Canis lupus familiaris: one gene and its partners. Each later gene encodes a partner of the first gene's protein in a complex. Links are inferred from orthologs where the notes say so. Each region holds a gene or a part of one and is shown on either strand. Other genes may lie near its edges.

The links.
Region 2: the proteins of EIF4A1 (region 1) and KANK1 are in contact, whole or in part, in a crystal structure (PDB 7DDX), measured with the Mus musculus proteins. The link is inferred for Canis lupus familiaris from reciprocal best matches to the Homo sapiens genes EIF4A1 and KANK1. Residues at the interface, in NP_659207.1 of Mus musculus: Lys99, Val140, Arg141, Val144, Gln145, Lys146, Leu147, Gln148, Met149, Glu150, Ala151, Arg168, Arg169, Tyr170, Ser172; in NP_852069.4 of Mus musculus: Gly1168, Asn1169, Asn1171, His1175, Tyr1176, Val1178, Asn1201, Lys1202, Ala1203, Tyr1205, Met1209, Leu1210, Leu1213, Ala1214, Ala1215, Gln1240, Ala1241, Leu1248, Ser1251, His1252, Arg1254, Asp1273, Glu1274, His1285.
Region 3: the proteins of EIF4A1 (region 1) and PDCD4 are in contact, whole or in part, in a crystal structure (PDB 2ZU6), measured with the Homo sapiens proteins. The link is inferred for Canis lupus familiaris from reciprocal best matches to the Homo sapiens genes EIF4A1 and PDCD4. Residues at the interface, in NP_001407.1 of Homo sapiens: Gln75, Thr109, Arg110, Glu111, Ile135, Gly137, Val140, Thr158, Gly160, Arg161, Asp164, Glu186, Leu188, Ser189, Arg190, Gly191, Phe192, Gln195, Ala214, Thr215, Met216, Pro217, Glu240, Leu241, Thr242, Asn280, Thr281, Arg282, Arg283, Thr329; in NP_055271.2 of Homo sapiens: Pro170, Gln173, Glu174, Glu177, His178, Glu183, Glu186, Met187, Asp190, Leu209, Glu210, Lys212, Glu249, Leu250, Leu252, Asp253, Thr254, Pro255, Arg256, Gly320, Gln321, Gln322, Ser323, Val324, Leu327, Glu348, Lys352, Glu355, Val356, Pro357.

What each region holds. Positions count from the first base shown.
Region 1 is NC_049226.1:32,704,192-32,711,751, forward strand, and holds the end of EIF4A1 (eukaryotic initiation factor 4A-I), read left to right. Parts: intron 1-111; coding exon 112-160; intron 161-567; coding exon 568-700; intron 701-732; exon of another isoform or gene 733-853; intron 854-1,076; coding exon 1,077-1,216; intron 1,217-1,528; exon of another isoform or gene 1,529-1,673; intron 1,674-2,487; coding exon 2,488-2,656; intron 2,657-2,763; exon of another isoform or gene 2,764-2,901; intron 2,902-2,995; coding exon 2,996-3,105; intron 3,106-3,333; coding exon 3,334-3,477; intron 3,478-3,558; coding exon 3,559-3,696; intron 3,697-3,793; coding exon 3,794-3,883; intron 3,884-3,920; exon of another isoform or gene 3,921-4,061; intron 4,062-4,130; coding exon 4,131-4,210; intron 4,211-4,308; coding exon 4,309-4,453; 3' UTR 4,454-4,961; downstream 4,962-7,560. Other genes in the region: CD68 (macrosialin), read left to right, coding at 5,590-5,638, 5,715-6,157, 6,303-6,422, 6,522-6,594, 6,708-6,878, 7,150-7,283. UniProt on the Homo sapiens protein: ATP-dependent RNA helicase which is a subunit of the eIF4F complex involved in cap recognition and is required for mRNA binding to ribosome.
Region 2 is NC_049222.1:90,275,948-90,283,376, reverse strand, and holds part of KANK1 (KN motif and ankyrin repeat domain-containing protein 1), read right to left. Parts: intron 3,255-7,429; coding exon 3,060-3,254; intron 2,170-3,059; coding exon 2,061-2,169; intron 856-2,060; coding exon 610-855; intron 1-609.
Region 3 is NC_049249.1:22,441,448-22,448,876, forward strand, and holds part of PDCD4 (programmed cell death protein 4), read left to right. Parts: coding exon 1-209; intron 210-1,865; coding exon 1,866-1,963; intron 1,964-3,066; coding exon 3,067-3,181; intron 3,182-6,255; coding exon 6,256-6,363; intron 6,364-6,616; coding exon 6,617-6,727; intron 6,728-7,374; coding exon 7,375-7,429. UniProt on the Homo sapiens protein: Inhibits translation initiation and cap-dependent translation. May excert its function by hindering the interaction between EIF4A1 and EIF4G. Inhibits the helicase activity of EIF4A. Modulates the activation of JUN kinase.

The DNA.
Region 1 (7,560 bases):
TCCTCGGGGAGTGGAGGCTGATGGCACGGGCGGGACCGCTTGCTGGGGAGAGCCCGGCCGCGCGGATTTCTAACTCGTCTCAGTTGGTGTGCATCTGCTTTCCACCAACAGATCCAGAGACAATGGCCCCGATGGGATGGAGCCCGAAGGCGTCATCGAGGTGAGCCGGGAGCTTTGAGCCATTGTTCCCCCTCTCTGGAAAAGACGGTCTGTAGCAGCCTCCCCTGACCTCGGGAGGGGTGGTTCCTGTCCCCTAACAGGAACCTGTTCCTGTTTCCTCTCCCCAATTCTCATTCCTTTTCGATGATTGGTATAAAGTATCTACGTCCTGGGTTGTACGAACCAGGTTGCCGGAGGAGTCTGGTCTCCTCTCCTGCCCTGTTTAGCCTCTGGTTTCACAAGTGGACTGGCCCTCACTGATTGCCCAGGCCGGGTAGAGCCAGCTGGCTTCCCCAGAGGGAGGAGAGGTGCAGGGATCTGCAGCTCTGGGGCTGGTACCAAGGTGCCCTCTGTTCTGCGAGAACACAGACCCCCGTTTGACTACTGTGATTTTTCTCTGTCCTACAGAGTAACTGGAATGAGATTGTTGACAGCTTTGATGACATGAACCTCTCCGAGTCCCTTCTCCGTGGCATCTATGCTTATGGTTTCGAGAAGCCTTCTGCCATCCAGCAGCGAGCCATTCTTCCTTGTATCAAGGGTAAGCCTCCTGTCCCAGGACAGGTTCTGGGCTGTCCCTAAACTGGGTACAGTGGTATCTGGTTGGTGCCTGTCTCCTATCAGTCGGGGACCGAGCAACTCCTTGTTTATCCAGGCTTGGCTTTTGGTCTGTGTTCATGCCCTGGCCACATGCATGGCTGGTTTGATTTCTGCTGGTACCTGTTTCTGAGCTTTGTGCAGTACTGAATGAGTTAATGTTCTGTGTGGGCACTCTGTTGTCATGGGGTAAAGTCTGTGGAGCACGTCATGCTTGGCACATGGCTCCATCGGCTTCTTGTGGGTAAAGTAAAGCCTTGAACATCTCATGACTCTGAAATGTATGTATTCTCATGTCTTGTTTTTCTCGATCTATTTAGGTTATGATGTGATCGCTCAAGCCCAATCTGGGACTGGGAAAACAGCCACTTTTGCCATATCGATTCTGCAACAAATTGAATTGGATCTAAAGGCTACACAGGCCTTGGTCCTGGCACCCACTAGGGAGTTGGCTCAGCAGGTGAGTATGTAGGCTTTTTTGTTCCTCCCCTGAAGGACTGCTTTAGAAATGTGGTCCTTAAAAAAAGCATAGATGTGTGTTCCTCAGGACCACTATCTATTTAAGAACTGAATGGTTGGGGGGGTGGGGACTGTGTAAAGAAATAAGTTGAGGACTTCCGGATGTTTGAGAGCTTGTTAGGATTAATTACGAGGTCTTTCCTACCCAAACACAATAAGCATTATTTTCTCCACCCATTTCCTGAGTCAAATGAAAAGGTTGCAAGGTGGAGCCTGGCTGGCTGGGCAAGTTTGGTGGCTGTTTTATGAACAAACCCCCTGGCAATGGGCAAAGAGACACCTTGGTGGTGGTGGTGCTCTTATATCAGCCAGGGGCAAAGCAGACGGGCAGTCCTGTGTTCATCCTAGCTTGATGCCTGGATTGGTGGCCAGAGCTGTTTCATGCCTAGGGCACATAAAATTTTAATGAGACCTTTCTTGGGTCTTGGTGGAGAAAGGGTCAGAAATGCTAGTCTCATAAGTAGGATATTAGTTTTATGGTGAGTTTAGGATGATTCTATGCTTATCGGTGAATTGAGGTAAGGTACTGTAAGTGAAGAGTTCTGGAAGAATTCAGTAGGGCCTTAATGTATGTGCAGAACATGCTCTTTTAAAAAAAGCGAACGGGGATCCCTGGGTGGCGCAGCGGTTTGGCGCCTGCCTTTGGCCCAGGGCGCGATCCTGGAGACCCGGGATCGAATCCCACATCGGACTCCCGGTGCATGGAGCCTGCTTCTCGCTCTGCTTCTCTCTCTCTCTCTCTCTCTGTGACTATCATGAATAAATAAATAAAAAAAAAAATCTTAAAAAAATAAAAAATAAAAAAAATAAAAAAAGCGAACGTGTCACCTAGCACAGGTTCTGTGGCAGGAGTTCAGTAGGACACGGGTAGATGGCCTTCCATTCATAAAACTAGTTGGAGTGAGATCAAATCAATGGGTCGTCATGGCTTTTAGAAAGGGCTGTTAGTGTGAATCCTTGTATTCTTAGGAGCCAGACCAAGCTCAAATCCTGAGCCTGCCACTTACTGGCAGTGTGATCTTAAGTGAAGTATCTGCCTGTTTCTTGTCTGAAAAGTGAGTTTAATGGTGCACGTCTGAGTTGGAGAGAACACTAGAAGCATTTTATTTATTTATTTACTTACTTATTTTTTATTTTACTAGAAGCATCTTAAACGGGACCTGCCTTGATCATAGCTCATAATTGGGTACATTTTTTTTTTTCTGAGTCCAGATACAGAAGGTAGTCATGGCATTAGGAGATTACATGGGTGCTTCCTGCCATGCCTGCATTGGGGGGACCAATGTACGTGCTGAGGTGCAGAAGCTTCAGATGGAGGCTCCTCATATCATCGTGGGCACCCCGGGTCGTGTGTTTGACATGCTGAACCGGAGATACCTATGTGAGTCTGGCTGTCCTCTTTAACCCTCCCACTCGTGCCTTCCCCCCCCCCCCCCCCCCTTCGCAGTGTCCTCCTCTGACGGGCTAGCATGCACCTGGGAAAGAGTTGCTCTGTGATGAGCCCATGCGTGTCATCTGAGCCTGGCTTCCCCGTCCTCAGCCCCGGGGAGTGTTCTACTTCCCTGGCCTGTCAGCTGGCCTCGTGTGGGAGTCTTGGCAAAGGATCAGCCTTCGTATCCTGAGAGCAGATCTCTTGTTCCTTAGTGTTCTCGATCAGGAACTTGAAGTTTGGTTTCCTGGTTCCCTCACTACTGTCCATTGGGGTTTTCTCCTCTTGTAGCTCCCAAATATATCAAGATGTTTGTACTGGACGAAGCTGATGAGATGTTAAGCCGTGGATTCAAGGACCAGATCTATGACATATTCCAAAAGCTCAACAGCAACACCCAGGTGAGAAAGGGGTTCACAGACTCTAGTGGGCGGTCAAGGTTTCCTTTGTAGGTGGCTGTGTGGTGGGGGTCACAGCAGCAGCACATGCTGCAGGAGCCACAAAGAATCCGGGGGCCTCAAGCCTTTTCATGCCCTAGCTTCTGCATTAGGCGACAACTTACTTGCTTGCTAGGGGAGGGGGGGCCAGCCTGGAGGATCCCCTACCCCAAGGCTGCTCTTTCCCATTAGGTGGTTTTGCTGTCTGCCACGATGCCTTCTGACGTGCTTGAGGTGACCAAGAAGTTCATGAGGGACCCCATTCGGATTCTGGTCAAGAAAGAAGAGTTGACCCTCGAGGGCATCCGCCAGTTCTACATCAACGTGGAGCGAGAGGTGGGGCCCGGTGCAGGGGGGGGCTTGCCTGGCTGTACATCCCTGGGTAGAGCCCCTCACTGATCTCCTTCCCCCTCCCAGGAGTGGAAGCTGGACACGCTGTGTGACTTGTACGAGACTCTGACCATCACACAGGCAGTCATTTTCATCAACACCCGAAGGAAGGTGGATTGGCTCACCGAGAAGATGCACGCCCGAGACTTCACCGTGTCTGCCATGGTGCGTTCTCTCCCTTGTTCCCCGTAGTGCCCGTGTGCCTGGGCCTCCGAGCCTGTGCGCCTGTGACACGCGCCCTCCCCTCTGGTCCCCACTATAGCACGGAGACATGGACCAGAAGGAGCGAGATGTTATCATGAGGGAGTTCCGCTCGGGCTCTAGCAGAGTACTGATTACCACTGACTTGCTGGTGAGTAGGGAATGGAGAACCCTGGGAAGGAGGGAGGACCCAAGCTGATTCCCTCTCCAGGGGGCTTGCTTGTGCCCCCCTCAGGAAAGTAGCAACTTGGAATAAAATGTGACATGCCTCAGGGTGCTGGGAAGAGGGGCTGCTGTTTCCTTTGCCTTCCCTTTGGCTGCCTACACACACAGCGGTCCCTGCTACGCGCACTGGTCCCCCACCCTTCCTCCTGCTGACCTGTCCTCTCCCGACCCAGGCCAGAGGCATCGATGTGCAGCAGGTGTCTCTAGTCATCAACTATGACCTTCCTACCAACAGGGAAAACTATATCCACAGGTAAGTGCAGATCTAAAATGTTCCCTCCCCCAGCCCTGAGCTCAGGCTCTGTCCTGCCCCCATCCTGAGCCAGACTGAACCTGTCCTATTCTCACCAGAATCGGCCGTGGTGGACGATTTGGCCGGAAGGGTGTGGCTATTAACATGGTGACAGAAGAAGACAAGAGGACTCTTCGAGACATCGAGACTTTCTACAACACCTCCATTGAGGAAATGCCCCTCAATGTTGCTGACCTCATCTGAGGGGTGGTCCTGCTACCTAGCCTGACCCTGGCCTCAGTCTGGGGGGGGCAGAAGAGCAGGAGGGGGGAGGGAAGGGAGCCAAGGGATGGACATCTTGTCATTTTTTTCCTTTTTTTTTTCTTTGAATAAATGTCACTTTTTGAGGCAAAAGAAGGAACGTGAACATTTTAGACACCCTTTTCTTTGGGGCAGGCTCTTGCTCCAGGCGCCGTCTCTTCTCCCAAAAACACTAATCCATCTCCGTAACCTAGTCAACCTCCAAACCCCAGAGGCTCTCCCCCACCCCAGCTACGTGCCTCTTCAGAGGCTGCCAGGGGCCATAGTGTCACTCAACCTCATTTGCTGGACCAAATCTGGAGAATCCCAGAGTTAAATGGCCCAGAGGATTGTCCCCAGGTGGGGGGGAGCAGGGGAGAAAAAGTGGTAGCCATTTTTACATTGTTTTGTATAGTATTTATTGATTCAGAAAACAAACACAAAATTCTGAATAAAATGACTTGGAAACTGCCTGTTTGGGCTTCTCATTTCTTGCCTCCCCTTCCCTCCCACCTGTGTCCCAGGGCCTCCCTGGCTGGGGCCACCACTCCACCCCCAGTTCATAGTCCCTCAAGTTTCCCTTGGGTTTCCTTTTTTTGTTATCCTCTCCCTGCTGACCCGCTAGTGGGGTAGCATTTGTTGGCTAGTGACCCACTCTAAAGGCCAAGACGCAAGCACCATCATAAGTGCCTCACATGTTCTGTCAAGAGGAAGTGACAAATGGAAAAGAGGGAATAGAAACACTTAACCCCTAGAACTGGAGGACATAAGCAAGGGGTGGGGTGCTGTTCCCCGCTGGTTCTGTAACCCCTCCGGCCCACCAAACAGGCTGAAGTAGACAAGTAGGTCCGCAAGGACCAACTGTCCCCAAACTCCGCATCTACCTGTGATATTGAGGCTGGTGACCCATCCCCTCACTTGGTGACGGGTTCAATGACTAAGTGATTGGTGGCTGGGGCTGAGGTGCCTGAGTCAGGCTGGGGGTGGACTGGGCTGCCACAGGAAGTCAGACACTTAATTCCTCTTCCAAAAGAAGGCAGAGGCTACAGGCTGGTGTTGAACACACCGTCCCGCACCGACTGGGGTGAGGCCGATCGGTTATGAGGCCAGCCGTGTTTTTCTTGGGGGCCTTGGTGGGGCTGCTAGCAGGTAAGGGGGGGCCCGAGGGGAAGGGGCTCAGGGGGACACTGCCCCATTGCTAACCAACCCTCCCCTCTGCTCCAAGCCCAGGGGACCCGGAGCGACTGTCCCCATAAAAAGTCGGCCACCCTGCTGCCCTCCTTCACGGTGACCCCTACGGCTACAGAGAGCACAGGAAGCCCTGGGACCACCAGCCACAGCACCACCACCGCGGAGACCACCAGCCATGCGCCCAACACCACCACTCACCAGGCCCCGACAACCCCGGGGCACAGAAACACCACCATTCACCCAACCACGAGCAACAGCACAAGCAACACCACGGGCACCACGGGCACCGGCAAACCCCACACCTCCACCAGCTACACCCAGCCGGGGCCAGGGCCAAGGCCACCACCTCCCAGTCCCGGCCCTGGCCCCCAGGACGCCATAGGAGACTACACTTGGACTACGGGTTCCCAGCCCTGCGCCCGGCTCCAAGCCCGGATTCAGATCGGGGTTGTGTACCCAACCCAGGCCGGAGGCCAGGTAGAGCCACCCGTGGGGGCAGGGGTGAGGTCGCTCACCGCACTGCAGAAGGAAGAAGAGAGAAGGGGGCACGCAGGGAGGGGATGGAGGAAACAGGGAACCCCGGGCGGCTGCAGCCTTCAAAACCTCTTTTTAACCGCTACAGGCCTGGGGCATCTCGGTGCTGAACCCCAACAGTACCAAGCCCTGGGGGGACTGTGACGGGGCCCGCCCCCATCTGCTTCTCTCCTTCCCTTTCGGGCAGCTCAGCTTCGGGTTCACACAGGTACCTCCCCACCCCGGCCCCCTCGTGTCCCCCTATCCCCCCACCCTTTGCTGTGCTGGGGGCTCCGGCCACTCTCAGCCTTCCTGGTCGCCTTCGCAGGAGCCGCAGCAGGGTTCAGTCTACCTCGACTACCTGGCTCTGCAGTACAACGTGTCCTTTCCGCAGGCGGCGCGTGAGTCACCCGCCCTCGGGTCGCTTGCCCTGAATGTCCGGGCTCCTGAAAGGGGATCTAAATCGGGGTGGCGGGGACAAGGCTCCAGAGCTGACCCTTCCTCGCTCTTTCAGAGTGGACATTCTCAGGTCAGAACGCATCCCTCCGAGCTCTCCAAGCCCCCCTGGGCCAGAGCTTCAGCTGCAGAAATGCAAGCATCCTTCTTACGCCAGCTCTGCGCCTTGACCTGCTCCACCTGAAGCTGCAGGCTGCTCAGCTGCCCCCTTCAGGGGCCTTTGGGCCAAGTAAGAACTAGTCCTCCCTCCTAGAAGGCTCCCACTGCTCTGACGGCCACCCGCCTCCTTTATGAGATCTTGAACTTTCCTTTCTCTCTCAGCCTTGTAGCTTTAGGGCAACTGCCCTACTTCCTCAGCAGGACTCTGCCCTCTTTCCCTAGGAGCTTCGAGGGCACTCATCACTCTACTTCCCCATGTCCCCCCCACGCCTTCCTCCCATCCTCCTCCCACCTGTGCCCCACCACCACCCTGATGCCTGCCCGCCCTCCCTTTCTGCCAGGTTTCTCTTGTCCCAGCGAACACTTCAACCTGCTGCCCCTCATCGTCGGCGTGATCTCACTCGGCCTCCTCGCCCTGGCGCTGGTTACATTCTGCATTATCAGGAGACGCCCACCCACCTACCAGCCCCTCTGAGCATGTCCCCATCCTTGATACCAGTATCAAGCTTGGCGGGGGGGGGGGGGGGGGGCATTCTCATCACCCAACTGACTCAGAAACAAAGTTACCTTCCTTCTCAGTCTTCTGGAACAAAAATAGAACTAATGCCATCTGAAGGGATGCAGGAGAGAGAAAGGGTCATAAACATGACATAGTTCTCCTCCCCCATCCCCAGCATAATAAAACCTGCTCGAAACACTGTCTTCGGATTTCCCCATTCTTGCCAGGACTAAAAGCTGTCTTGTCACATGCC
Region 2 (7,429 bases), on another chromosome or scaffold:
CTCAGCTGCTTGTTTAGGAGACTCCCGAACCCATTCTTGGGGTGTTCCCTTTCACTCAAGGAGCCACAAGATGCAGACATGTGACTGATTATATCATGTCTGCAGTGAATGTGATCTTTGGCTGAGGCCAAAAAATGCGCTCCTCTCACACACAGCGATCCCATCGTAACAGTAATGACATCTGTATCGAGACAAATGGCTGATGATAAAATCTGAAACCCGAAAGAAATGCGCCGGCCACACAATATTCTAACATGCCTTCAAGTCTAAGCGGGATTGTTCAAACACTGGAGACCATCGTGGCACAGGACAGTTCTGTGGGCGGTGGCTCTGCACGTTAAAATGAGCTAACACACAAATGTAAAGGCAACAAAGGTGACAGCTTGATTAGGCCCTTCTCTTTGGGAAATCTCAGAGTTACCTCCCTCTGCACCTGTATTTATCAGCATCACGACACGACAGTCGTGCCTCTGCGTACGTACCCTCCTTTGGGGATGGGAGAGACCCAACCTGTAGTTACAGCTGCAAAATCTCCGAATCGGCTAATTCTCTCGCCAAAGGACATTGAAAAGTGGGAAGGGTTAGGGAGGGAAGGGGAGGGTACCACACCTCTCTCTGATTTCCACCTTCTCAGGTTCACATTCTGGAACCTGCATCTCATCTTCCGCCCCGGCGGACTTGAAACCTTCCATATTAACTGCATGCTGCCCTTCTGCCACTCCCCGGGTGTCTTCCTCCTCCTCCTCTTCCTCCTCCTCTTCCTCAGGAGGAAACTCAATGACATCACACTCGTCATCTGACTCGGAGGAAGAGCTTTCATCCGAGCTGGAATCATCACTTGAAGTTGTCTCATACCTAGGTGGCAATTGGGAGTTCAGGAGATGCAAGGTGCGCCCAGAAAGACCCCGGGACAGAAATTCTTACGCAGGGAAAGCCGCTAACAGACTCCAGACATTTGACCGGTGGCTTTAGACTCTGCATTTAGAAGTTCAAAGGAAGGTCTATTTAAAAATATGGTGGCTTTGAATGGGTTCTGACCTGAAAGGGGTAACATGTGTTGCCAATTGGTATCGTTATACTACTTGCAGGAAAAAAGAAATACATATATATAGCATGTCTGGCTTAGTGCAGGTCAAAGGAAACTTACTTCACGAAAGCCAAGTCTGCAGTGGTTCATTTTTTCTGTTCCTTTTTTTTTTTCCCCTTACATTCTTCCTATTTTGCTCCATTAATCGTCCCAGTGTCATGATGAACAGATTACCAGTGAACAGATTACATAAGTAATCAAGAGTTCCTCTGGTACATGTCCCGCTCCCCGCAAACCTCCTGGGCCACGCTACCCAATTAAGCTTCAAAGATTCAGAAAATAGGCCCCATGAAGTTAAATGTCAATCGTACGCTTTGCTATCAACGTTATCTCAACTAACTGCATCACTGCTTTCGTGTCGAGGCCGAGGCCGTGTCCAGATTAACAGATTAGCTGCTCTGATTCAACTGCAGGAGGGCAAACAGGCTTAACTATTTATGTGGCCCAATGAGAAGGAATAGACAGCCAATCAAACATTCTGGTTAGAAGGTAAACCACTGACGGCACAGCCAGATTATGGGTCAGGGGACAGGACCTACAATTTTGTACGTAGGCATGGAGAGCGAAGCCAAAGAACCCATTTTGAAGGAGTGGATGCCCGTCACCGGCCCGTGGAGAGATGCTCTCGCCTCTTTCTGTTGGTTTCTGAGTCTGACACGGGTAAGACCAAGCTGTCCAACACCGCAGGACACCTGCTGCCTGCGGCTTTTGTTGAAGACTACCATTTTCAGACCAGAGGCGGGAAGATGCCAACCGCTCAGCGTCACCAGGTGTCCTTTCGAGAGTGGCATATCCTTAGAGACAGCATGGAGAGGAGAAGAGAGAAGCCCAGTGCACCTTTCTGAGGGGCTCATCCGTCACCAAGATGTGGCTGCAGCCCATCCCGGGCCCCTCTGAGTGGGACGTGAGAAGACAGGAGGCCCAGGAGACAGACAGAGCACATACAGACCGCTGGTGGGCCATCTTTCCTTACCCTCCATTAATGCCGACAAACTGGAGATTCTTCTTCGCTCCATTTGAATCTCGGTTGCCATCCTTCTTCTTCATGATAGACTTGAGTGTGTTTTCACTATTTGTACATACTGCGAAAAGGGGAATCAAGCGGAGCAAAATGAACACAATTCACACCCATCCAAGTTAAGGGAGCAAGAAATCTTTTTTTCCTCACATTCATTTTTTTTTCTCTCATTCACGTAAATCTAGGATAGATCGTGGCACGTGCATATGAGAAATGTGCCCAGAATCCACTGGAAAGATGTATGCGTGTAAAGAAAATAATCTGCAGTTCTTTAAATGGGAAACTCCCCCCCCCATTAGTACTTCTAGACAGAACAAAAGCAGTGACAACTAGTGTTTAAATCAGGCTCCACTGTTTTTAAAGTGAAGTCGTATCTCACTGAGGCCTCAAAAACCACGAAGGCACAAAAATAGGGATTGTAATTGTTCTTTTCCTCCAGCTGAGATAATCTGGGGAAAAATTATGCCTGCCAGACAGCGAAGGAGTGAAATGCTATTTAAAATATTTCACAACTTTTTAAAAAAAAAAAAAAAAAAAAAAAAAAGGGATCCCTGGGTGGCGCAGCGGTTTAGCGCCTGCCTTTGGCCCAGGGCGCGATCCTGGAGACCCAGGATCGAATCCCACGTCGGGCTCCCGGTGCATGGAGCCTGCTTCTCCCTCTGCCTATGTCTCTGCCTCTCTCTCTCTCTCTCTCTCTCTCTGTGACTATCATAAATAAATAAAAATTAAAAAAATAAAATAAAATATTTCACAACTTACAAAATCTGAGGAGTTTACTTCAGGGGACGGCCCACTCCCCTCTGTAGCCATCTTTTTAAAAGATATTCTAAGCCAACCTTTCTAACACTTCTCAGGTTAATGGCTCTTCCAGGTCCATCTATGAGGCACTCGGCCATGGACTGCAGCGCCGGTCCCGGGATCCCCTAGCCGAGAAGGGCTGAGGGGGGAAGTTACCATAGAGGCCGGCGGCGATCTGGTCGTCCGTCAGGTTCACGGGGGACAGCGTGCTCTCCTGAGGGGGGAAGGCGTCCTGGCCGCCCGGGGGTCTCCCTTCCGTGGGCCCCACCGCCTGCTCGTGCCGCGACGCCTGACTGCTGAATGGAGCTCCTGCCGGAAGGCCTCCGCACCTACAGGTGTGTTCCAAACTTCCTGTCAGGAAGGAAGGTGCAGAAGCATGTGACGGAGGGCCAAACAAAACGGGCTAAACAAATTTTTAAAAAATATTTTTGCAACTCCTCATTTTCTCAAGTGCCTTTCTCTGTTTTCTTTTTTTAAATTTATTTTTAAGATTTTATTTATTTATTCATGAGAGACACACACGGAGAGAGGCAGACACACAGGCAGAGGGAGAAGCAGGCTCCCCTCGGGGAACCCGATGCAGGATTTGAACCCAGGACCCCAGGATCATGACCTGAGCCTAAGGGAGATGCTCAACCACTGAGCCAGCCAGGTGCCCTCTCCCTGTTTTCTTTTTTGCATATAGGGCAGTCCTATGGAAGCCACCCAAACCCCACCCCAAGGCCTTCCTGACCCTTACCCTTCCCTTTGTCTCCACATCCGGGTCTGCCCAGGCCTGTCCGTCCACTCCCTCTCTTCTCTCTGCGCCTGGTGCCCCCGCCCAGCCCGGGGAGGACCCTCAGCGCGGGATCCTGATGGCCCTCTTCTTCTACCACAGCCTCTCAAACACACAGCTGCAGAGTGATACCCCAGCCCCACAAATCCCAGTGCAATCCAGCTCCAACAGACTTGTGCAAAGCTGAAAAACATTGCTTTCTGCTCAGGAAACGCCACCCACACTACTTGGCCACATATTCTGGACCATCCACAAGCTGGCTCATCTCGTTACCTCTCCACCTTTATTTCCCACTACACCTGGGGTCCCCTTGGTGGGCAGGACTGCCTTTCTCCCCAGGAATGGGATGCTGAGGGTGGGGGTCTTTCATCTTCCTGACAGCACGTCTCAGGGTTTGCTGCTCTACTGGGAACACTTCTTGCTCCCCACCTTCGTGGGGTCAAGCCCTCCATCACCCTCTCTTCTGAGCCTTCCCCAACCTAACTAAAAATGGCTTTCCTTCCCCTGCCTCTCCCAGGCCAGCTCTCAGACCCTCTTAGAGGATCTGGAAGACAAAGTGCTAGAGGACTCATGGGACTGCCTGAGACGCCCTTCTGTCTGTAAGGATTGTGAGGGCACGAAACCATTCGAATCAACTTTCTCTTCTCACAGCTACTAGAAGGCTTTTGTGTATTTTGGGTACTTAGTACTTGTTCCCTGACTAAAGCAGAAGAATCAGATTAGTTAAGTGCATATAATTAATGTCATAAGAATATCACGATATTTCCAATGTGGCTGACACGGAAAGATTTTTACAATGTATGGCATGAGAAAAGCAGGTAATAAGATTCTACATAAGTGATCCTATTAAAAAATATAAAAAAGTTATCTGGAAGCTATGGAGATTTTAACTTGTCCCTGTATTTGACATTTTTTATTATTTATTCATAAGAGACACACAGAGAGAGGCAGAGACATATGCAGAGGGAGAAGCAGGCTCCCCGTGGGGAGCCTGTGCAGAACTTGATCCCAGGACCCCAAGATCTTGACCTGAGCCAAAGGCAGATGCTCAACCAATGAGCCACCCAGGTGTCCCGACATTTTTTTTTTAGAGCAAATAATAACTGTGTTCAAAATCATTTTAAAAACTAAGAAAATCCTTTGACTAGCAATTTGCTTCTAGGAATTTTATCCTAAAGACGTACAAAAAGATACAAAAGGATTTTCATTGTCTCCATGAGTAAAACAGTGGAAAGAGGGAGATATCACAGAATGTCAACAAGAAACTGGTGAAATAAGCTCTGGCACATTTATATAAATAAATTCTATGCAGCCAAGAAAAATTTTGATGTAGGTGGACATTTTTAGCACAGAAAGAAAAGCATAATGTGTGAGTTTTAAAAACAGGTTATTAAATTGCTTGGGGCAAATAAACCTATTTTGGCGAAATTCTATTTACATGTATATATATTAGAAAAAGTCTGGAAGGACACACAGCAAACCTGTTTATGCTTTTCTAAGGCTAAAGAATTCTAGATTGTTACAATTTTTTTCTTGTGTTGATTTCCTAAAGTATGCATTATAAATATGTTATTAATACAAATAAATTTAAACCTACCCACAATGTCATATAAGAATATGATCATAACTCTTTTTAATGCTCTGAAATTGCTTACCTCCTCAGAAGAAAAGAAATTTAAATACTGATTGTATTTTGAGGCAATTAGGAAAAAAGGAACCACCATAGATTCTACAACAGTTCTCTTCACACTCTACTGTTATGAATGGGCTGGGATATTTGCTAAAATGCAGATTCCTAAGCACCTGCTGCCATAAGACAATTCTGTACATCTCTGATGAGCCCCCAGGGGTGGGCGTTTCTGACATCCCCACCGACCTGTCCACAAGAGACTCTGATGCACGCGGCCCACTATGGAAAGTACAATGACCCTCTGATTTAAAAAAAATGTGGAGGGAGGCAAAACTGTTCATAGTAAGACATTAGAAATCACCTAAATTGTTTTTTTTTAAGATTTTATTTATTTATTCATGAGAGACACAGAGCAAGAGAGAGGCAGAGACACAGGCAGAGGGAAGCAGGCTCCATGCAGGGAGCCTGACTTGGGACTCGATCCCAGGTCTCCAGGATCACAACCTGGGCCGAGGGCGGCGCCAAACTGCCGAGCCACCCAGGCTGCCCATGTTTTTAAAAAAGATTTTATTCATTTATTCACAAGAGACACAGAAGGAGAGACAGAAATATAGGCAGAGGGAGAAGCAGGTTCCCTTTGGGGAGTCCGATTGGGGACTTGATCCCAGGACCCGGGGATCACACCCTGAGCCGAAGGCAGATGCTCAACCACTGAGCCACCCAGGTGACCTGAGATCACCTGAATTTTAATTCATATATCCAAGCTAAGAATTCTGAACTTCGCAGCTAGACCAGAACCCACATTTCCTAATATGTGAGCGGGTATTGTGTCTGAGAATCAGTAGCACAAGTGGCCTTGTCCAGCTCTGTAGGCAAGGGGCCTCCCAGGTGACCCCACAAATCCACCTCCCTCCTCGGCACACACCTGCAACACTGAATGGAGCCCTCCAGATAATATTTAGTGCTCCTGTGACCTGATGTGCTCCCCCAACAGCAAAAACAAACCTCTGAGACTCCCTATGACTTACTCTGAGCAAAGTAAACAAAGCAGAGCATCTGCCTCTGTTCCTCCGTTCTCCAGCCCCACTCATCAATGTGGCAAAGTTACCTCCCCAAGGGCTCAGCAGTACAAATCCCCACGTACCAGCACACTTTTCCTGGAGAGACACTCTTGCTGAGCACGTTCCTATTCAAAACCAGCGAGGACTTTTAAAATGCAAATACACCAACAGTTTTTTTTATTATTTTTGAAACCAGAGACGTACAAAAGCAGACACCAGTATAACGAATCCCCGCGTGCCCATCATGGGCTTCAACAGCCATCAGCACTCTCCCTGGCCCCAGCCAGCCCCCTCCACCCACTCACACGGGAGTGCTGTGAACAAGAACTAGAGGGCAATGGCTCCGTCCATAATTATTTTAGCATGTATTTCTCAAAGAGCTCTTAAAAAATAATTATAGTGCAAAAAAAAATCCTAATTTTTTTTAAAGATTACTGCATATTTGGTCAGTATTCAAATTTCTCCAAGGTCTCAGAAAAAACTTTTGTCAGATATCAGAATCGGGATCCTTGTCACAAATTTCCACTGGTTGCTCTGGGTTTTAAGCTTTTGGATCTATAGATTTCTCTTTTTTCTTTTCCTTTTTAAAATTTGTTAAAAAGATTTTATTTATTTGAGAAAGAGTGAGCTTGAGAGAGCATAAACAGGGATAGAGGCAGAGGGAGAGGGAGAAGCAGACTCCTCGCTGAGCAGGGAGCCCGATGTGGGGCTTGATCCCAGGACCCCTGAGATCATGACCTGAGTGGAAGGCAGATGCTTACTTAACCGACTAAGCTGCCTACGCAACCCTCTTTTTAAAATTTAAATACAGCTTTCACAAGATATTTATAAGTTGAGGTATAATTTATATACAAGAAAATGCACAACTGTGGAATTGATGAGTTTTGGTAAATGCATATACCTATGTAAGCACCCTCCTCATTAAGATACGGAACATTTGGGACACCTGGGTGGCTCAGCAGTTAAGTGCCTGCCTTCAGCTCAGGGCGTGATCCTGGAGCCCTGGGATAGAGTCCCACATTGGGCTCCCCTCAGGGAGCCGATTTCTCCCTCTGCCTGT
Region 3 (7,429 bases), on another chromosome or scaffold:
ATTTAAACCTTGGTGAAATGAAGAGTGGGGTACCAGTGTTGGCAGTGTCCTTGGCATTGGAGGGAAAGGCTAGTCATAGAGAAATGACATCTAAGCTGCTTTCTGACCTTTGTGGGACAGTAATGAGCACAAATGATGTAGAAAAATCATTTGACAAATTATTGAAAGATCTACCTGAACTGGCATTGGATACTCCTAGAGCACCACAGGTTTGTATGGCTCTTCTTTTTATTCATTTTCTTCCCCACTACACTTCCAATTATAGAAATAATTCATGTTCCTAGGAAATTTTAGTAGATAAAGAGGACAAAATGACCTGTATTTTTTACCACACAAAAATAGCCCTCTGACATTTTAGTATATTTTTGTCTAGCTGTTTTTCTTTTCTTTTTCGTTTTCAAACACAGTTTTCATCATACTATAATTTTATATTTTGCTTTTCCACCCATGCTCTGTATAGTTTGTAGTTCATTGCTTTTGCTGTCTTTATATTCTCTATTATATGTGATTAAGCTATTGTATGAGCTAGGATTTCAAAAATATGTAGATTGTTCTAATTGAAGATTGAATTGGCTTGAGTGATGTTTACTATAAAAAGAATCATAAAAAAAAGAATCATAAATAAGTCTGTTCTCTTTTATAGCTTTGTGGGGAAATTAGAAAATTCATGATTTATGTTGCTGTTTAGATTCTGTCCTCAGAGCCTTATATTTTTATTAGATTTGATACATGCTGATACTATAATGTGACTTTCTGGTTTGACAATGAAAATGTGTGAAATTGCTGCTATTGACCAAAGTTTTAAATCAAGGTAGGAGTTTAATTTAGGAATAGAGTTATAGGTCAGTTAATTCTGTTTCTGTTATACTTTCCTATGACTGATGGTAGTCTGTGTAAGGTATTGAGCTATGATTCAGGTATGGACTTTTTTTTGCTTTTTATAGCAATACTCATATTAAAAACCTGATTACATAAATACATATTATAGAATTTTTGAAAAATAAAGTCAAAAGGAAGAAAGGCCAGCAAAAATAACCATTGTTAACTATTAACATTTTGGTGTTAAATCTGTTTTACTTTCTGTGGGTATGATTTTTCATGTATGATTTTTATATATCCTTGTATTTTTTGTTTTAAAAATGAAATTATACTGTATGTGCTATTTTATAAACTTCATTTTTCTTACACCATAAAATGCGGTAAATGTATTCCCTAATGACCACATAGTATACCATCTTATGTATCATTTAACCATACCCTTATTGTTGGACACTAGAGTCGTTTCTAATTTTTGTAAGCAATAATGCTATGAAAAGGAGTGCCTGGTTGGTTCAATCTGTGGAATAGGTGACTTTTGGTCTCAGGGTCATGAGCTCAAGTTTTACATTGGATGTGGAGCTGACTTTAACAACAACAAACATAAATAATTCTATGAATATACTTTTAGATAGAAACTTCTACACAAAGTTTTCTCCATACAATAAATTATTTTGATCAAAGAATTTTTGAGAAAACCTAGTCCTATGTTTTTGTTTGATTCTAGAAGAGAGTTTTCTCTTGAATTTAGGCCATTGGCTTAACAAATATTTTTGACTATACTATGTTTCAGGCAGGTATTGGGAAATTCAGTATTGAGCAAAACTGATGTATGTCTGCCCTATGGTACTTATCTTGAAGGTTAAGATGTGGGAGCATAAGCCAACCATAACTAGCAGGTGCTAAATTGATGTCTTTGAATGTTCCGACATGTCTTAGATATTGACTGTGTAATTCAGTCAGTCTTCATCATTGGTGTGTTTAGAAATTGTGTCCTGTAAAGGTTTATTTTAGGGTGTTTTATATAGCTTTTTTTTTTCTTATTGTAGTTGGTGGGCCAGTTTATTGCTAGAGCTGTTGGAGATGGAATTTTATGTAATACCTATATTGATAGTTACAAAGGAACTGTAGATTGTGTACAGGCTAGGTAAGTAAATTAATTTTCCTACTTAGAATTTCAAAAGGGGAAAATTCTACAGGATTTATTGAAATGATATTTGAATTAATCAGACATTGTAGACATCTGTCATTTGTGTGCATTCTCCACTGCTAAAATTGAGAGATTGTTGACATGATATTAACAGGAAGAAGATATATTATAATGTAGAAGTTTGGGATCTTAGCTAAACCATCAGCTACCTTTATGTCACACCTCTCTTCCCTGGGCCTCAGTTTCCTTATTTATAAAATGGAAGATTGCACTGAGAATATTTAAGGTCTGTTCAAGATTTTACGTTCTGTAATTATTTAATATTCTGATAAGATGGATAGTATTAACAAAGGAGCCCTATTTCCTATTTTATATTTATCTGCTACAGCAATATTAGGAAATAGTGTTTTTTCACTCTTGGTCTTTGGTATAATTTAAGCTAAATGTAATATTTGGGAGTCATCTGTATGATTTTTAGAATTTTCTAGAAACATAGATTTGGTCCTAGCCATGTATTAGATCTTAGGTATAGATCTTAACTTAATTTTTTAGGACTACGCAGATCAGAGTACAATGATTGCCCTGGTGGGAAGGCGTAGATCTATGTAAAAGTTAAGTTTTATGCAAAATGTTTTTTCTTAGTATAATTATTTTGTAATAAGTTTAGTTTTTTATGACTGAGAAATAAAAATGAGTATGAGAATAATGAAAAAAGTAACTTTTTTTTTTTTTGCTCCCAACTTTTTATTTTAAAAAGTTGCTTTTTAAAAGACTTTTGAGTTTTAGGTTGCTTTCATGTTACATGAAAACTTTTAGGGATGCCTGGGTGGCTCAGCGGTTGAGCATCTGCCTTTGGCTCAGGGTGTGATCCTAGGGTCCAGGTTCAAGTCCCACATCAGGCTCCTTGAAGGGAGCCTGCTTCTCCCTCTGCCTATGTCTCTGCTTCTCTCTCTGTGTCTCTCATGAATAAATAAATAAAATCTTAAAAAAAAACAAAAACAAAACTTTTAAATCAGCCTCAAACATGTCCAAGTTGTCACAGATATTTGTTGTTATTGTGTGTGTGTGTGTGTGGTTTTTTTTTTTTTTTTTTTTGATAGAGCTGCTCTGGACAAGGCTACTGTGCTCCTGAGTATGTCTAAAGGTGGAAAGCGCAAAGACAGCGTGTGGGGTTCTGGAGGTGGACAGCAGTCTGTTAATCATCTTGTTAAAGAGGTAACTACTGGGTATTGTCTTTAACTTAATTTACATGTATTTCTTTAGATAAGTAAACTATGCCCTCTAGCTGGCATTTTTGCAGAGAAAAATTAAGTTCAGGCTTAAAGCTACTGATGGAAAATTGGATAACCTTCATATATTTGGCTTTATATCCTGGTGCTATAAATTATACAATAATTATATAATTGTTATTAAATTTTTATGGTTTCTGACTTAAAAGTAAGACTAAGTTAAAAGGGCTTTCAAAGGAGGGCTGTATTTGAACCTCAAAGGAATGCCTGAAATCCTTTTTATATTGATATTTAAAATTTTTCAGATACTGTCAAAATAAGACTTCCTAAGTTATTCAATAAAGAACTATATTTTTATATATGAATAGTTTGAAACTGGATACTCTTAGATCATAAGTGATGAATTATGAACACTAGGGTAGATCAGAGTAGTAAATTTTTGTAAGGAAATTCACTACTTGTATGCATGCTTTAAAAGTAAAAATTATTTATTGCATTAAAATGCAAGATTTATTATCTATGGATTTTTTTTCTGGCAATAAAGTAATATTCTGTAACAGGAAACGAGAAAAAGTATTTAATCTTTTTGCAGATTGTTAAGAAAATTAGAAGATTTATAGCTCATGTGCTTCTGATTTTTTAGTATAATCTTTTCATGTGACTAGAGTTTTGATATTTAATCTTTTAATGATATGCGTTTCTAGTTTGGGGGTTAAGGAGCTGAAAGTACAGATTTTTGACCAGTTTGCTTTTCTATATCTTAAGGTAGATAAGCTGGTGTTTGTAATATCATGATCACAATATTTGCTTTTAAAAAATTTTTCAAGTTGTTAGGAAGATTGAGGTATAAACACAGTCAAGATATCAGCAGTTTGTCAAAATTACATAAAAGGCATCTAGATGGGAAAGGAAGAAGTAAAACTATTTGTTCTGAGATGACATGATCTGTATACAGAAAATCTGAATCTACAAAAAAAAAAAAAAATGAAAACAACCAAACTGTCAACAAAATAAATGAATTCAAGGTTGTAGAATATAAGATCAGTATACAATATTCAGTTCTAGTTCTGTACACTAGCAATGAATGATATGAAGTGAAATTAAGAAACAGTTGCTTTTACAATAGAATAAAAAGAATACTAAAATGCTTAAGAATAAATTTAACAAAAGCAGTGCAGTTCTTGTACACAAAAACTGCAAAACATTGTTGAAATGAATTACACCTAAATAAGTAGAAAGATATCCAAATATCCTGTGTTTATGGATTGGAAGACATAATATCGTTAAGATCATAATGGTCAGAGCACCTGGCTTTCTCAGGTGGAGGAGCTTGTGACTCTTGCTCTCAGGGTTATGAGTTTGAGCCCCATACTGGGTGTAGAGATTACTAAGAAAAAAAAAAACTTAAAAAAAAAAAAAAGATGGCAGTACTCCCCTAAAATTAGTATTTTGAGAGACTGCCAAACTATTTTATGTGAATTATCTCAACCAAAAAATAGTCAAGATAAAAGTTGAAATAAAACTACCAATAAAGGAGTGTGAGGTTGACATGATCTGGATTGTCATTTATTTTTACATGGGAGGATAGTTGGACCAAGAGGACTTTTAGAAATGTATACATGTTTTTATAATTTATCATTCTAGGGCACGTGGGTGGCTCAGTGGTTGAGCATCTGCTTTTGGCTCAGGGCATCCTGGGATCGAGTCCTACATCAGGTTCCCCATAGGGAGCCTGCTTCTCCCTCTGCCTGGGTTTCTCCCTCTCTCTCTGTGTCTCTCATGAATAAATAAATAAAATATTAAAAAAATAATTATTCTAGAAAAATGCATGGAACCCGATAGGAAACATTTAAATACTTTAAGTTGCATAACAAAGTTATAAAACTATAATAAGTAATATAATTTAAATAATAAATGTATTACCTTATAATTATAAAATAAAAACACTTTAGTCAAATGCCATGCTTTAAATATTTACTTTCCTAAAGCAGGATAATAGGAATTATTAGGATGTTTTCTATTGATCAAATTTTATTTTACCTTTCATGAAAATACATCGCAGGAGTTGAAGTCAAAGAGACTTAAATGAGATTATTTAACAGCCTGCATTCATTGAGCATGTACTGGGTGCAGAGGTGATTTTAACAGGCAGTTAAAACTATAGGGAAGAACATTCTGATTGAAGTGCTTGTGCTGGAAAACTTTTTCACCTTTTCTCTGGAGTCATAGAGGTTATTGTGTTTGAACAAGAAAGTCAAGTCTTGCCTCTTTAGCTACAACTAGAAGCAGAATTGCTGATGAACATCTTAGATAATGGGTTTCAAATCCTTAGCTGTAGAGAAGAGAAAGTATATAAACATTTTCCTCTGTATAGTAAAGCTCTATTATCATCACTCATTTTTTGGCTGCTAGTGCACTGTTTAAGGTCATCCTGATGGAAGTGAAAGTTTGTGACACTTTATTAAAAATATATTTTGAGACTTTCAGTCAGTGCCCTCTAGTGGTCTTTAAAATCCCTTGTTTTATAGTGAGCACTGAAGTACTATGGTTACAGCGCAAGCCACGTACATCTAAAGACTACTAGATCTCAGTGATCATTAAGACACACTGAAGCACTGTATTCTCTTTATAATTATGAACCACTTAAAAATTGGAGGTTTACTTTTTAATTATGAAAAAAACTTGTAATAGTGTCAAGTCTCTATGTTCTTACACAGCTGTTTGTAATCTGCTTTGAGAGTAAATAAATCATATAGGCAAAAAGCAGTTCTTTTTGGTAAAAATTAGGAATTTTAGGGGTGCCTTGGTTACTTAGTTGGTTGAGCATCAGAATTTTGGTTTTGATTCAGGTCCTGGTCTGGCATTTGTGGGATGGAGCCCCACCACAGGTTCTGTGCTGGGTGTGGAGTTTGCTTCAGATTCTTTCTCCCTCTGGCCTTTGCCCCTCTGTGCCACATGTGCATGGGCACGTTCACACTCTCTCTCTAAAAAAATGAATGAATAAAATCTTTAAAAAATAAAAATTAAGAATTCTAACATTTCAATTTTTAAATTTGATAGATTGATATGCTGCTGAAAGAGTATTTACTCTCTGGAGACATATCTGAAGCTGAACATTGCCTTAAGGAATTGGAAGTACCTCATTTTCACCATGAGCTTGTATATGAAGTAAGATTACTGTGACATTCCAAAGAGAATTATTAAGTGTTCCTTTTTGAACCATCATGACTGAATGCTTCTTTAGGAGTATATGTCTTTTTTTTTTTTTCCTTTTTTAAAAAATTTAATGTTCAGGGAGTAAGTTTTTAAAAAAATTTTTGTAATGATTAAAATTACATATCAGACAAAAGTGATCTGATACATTTTAGGAGCAGTTTCTTACATGAATTAATGACCAAACATTTGTTCATTCAATTTTTAGGCCATTGTAATGGTTTTAGAGTCAACTGGAGAAAGTACATTTAAGATGATTTTGGATTTATTAAAATCTCTTTGGAAATCTTCTACCATTACTCTAGACCAAATGAAAAGAGTAAGTATAACATTTTGAATACTTTTTAGACTTACACCTTAAATGTCAAGTGTTTGAATAAAGATTATGAGTTGTCAATGAAATGTTCTTTTAGGTATGTTTAATAGTACTGTTTCTATAGTGTTGTTTTTTTTGTTTTTAGTGGTTGTGGTTATTTGACCTCTTGTAGCCATTTCTTGGAACGTAACACTTTATTGGGTTTTTTAACTTTTTTTTTTTTTCTTTTTTTTTTAAGATGTGATTGTTCTTCCTCAGGAGTTCTGCTTTTAAGTTTTATGATAGTTTCTATTTTATATCTGGCAACAAACATGAACATGATCTTTTAACAAATATACTTTAAAGCATTTAATTTATTCATATTGGTGAGATTCTTGTCTTACATTTTTAAAAAGTGTGGTAAGTGTATATAGAGAAGTAGATAGTGAAGAAATATGTCCAATGTCTGAAATCTACCTAAACTCTTTTGAGAGAACAGTTTTAAAGAAAATATACATACTGTCTATTTTTCAAGGATCAGATCTGGATTAGATCAGTCTAATTTTATGGACATTTAAGGCCTTAACTGTAGCTTGATGACAATGATGGGTTGTATGGCATTATGTGTTTCGTCTGGGCTAACAATTCTGTATATAATTTTATTGTTTTAGGGTTATGAGAGAATTTACAATGAAATTCCGGACATTAATCTGGATGTCCCACATT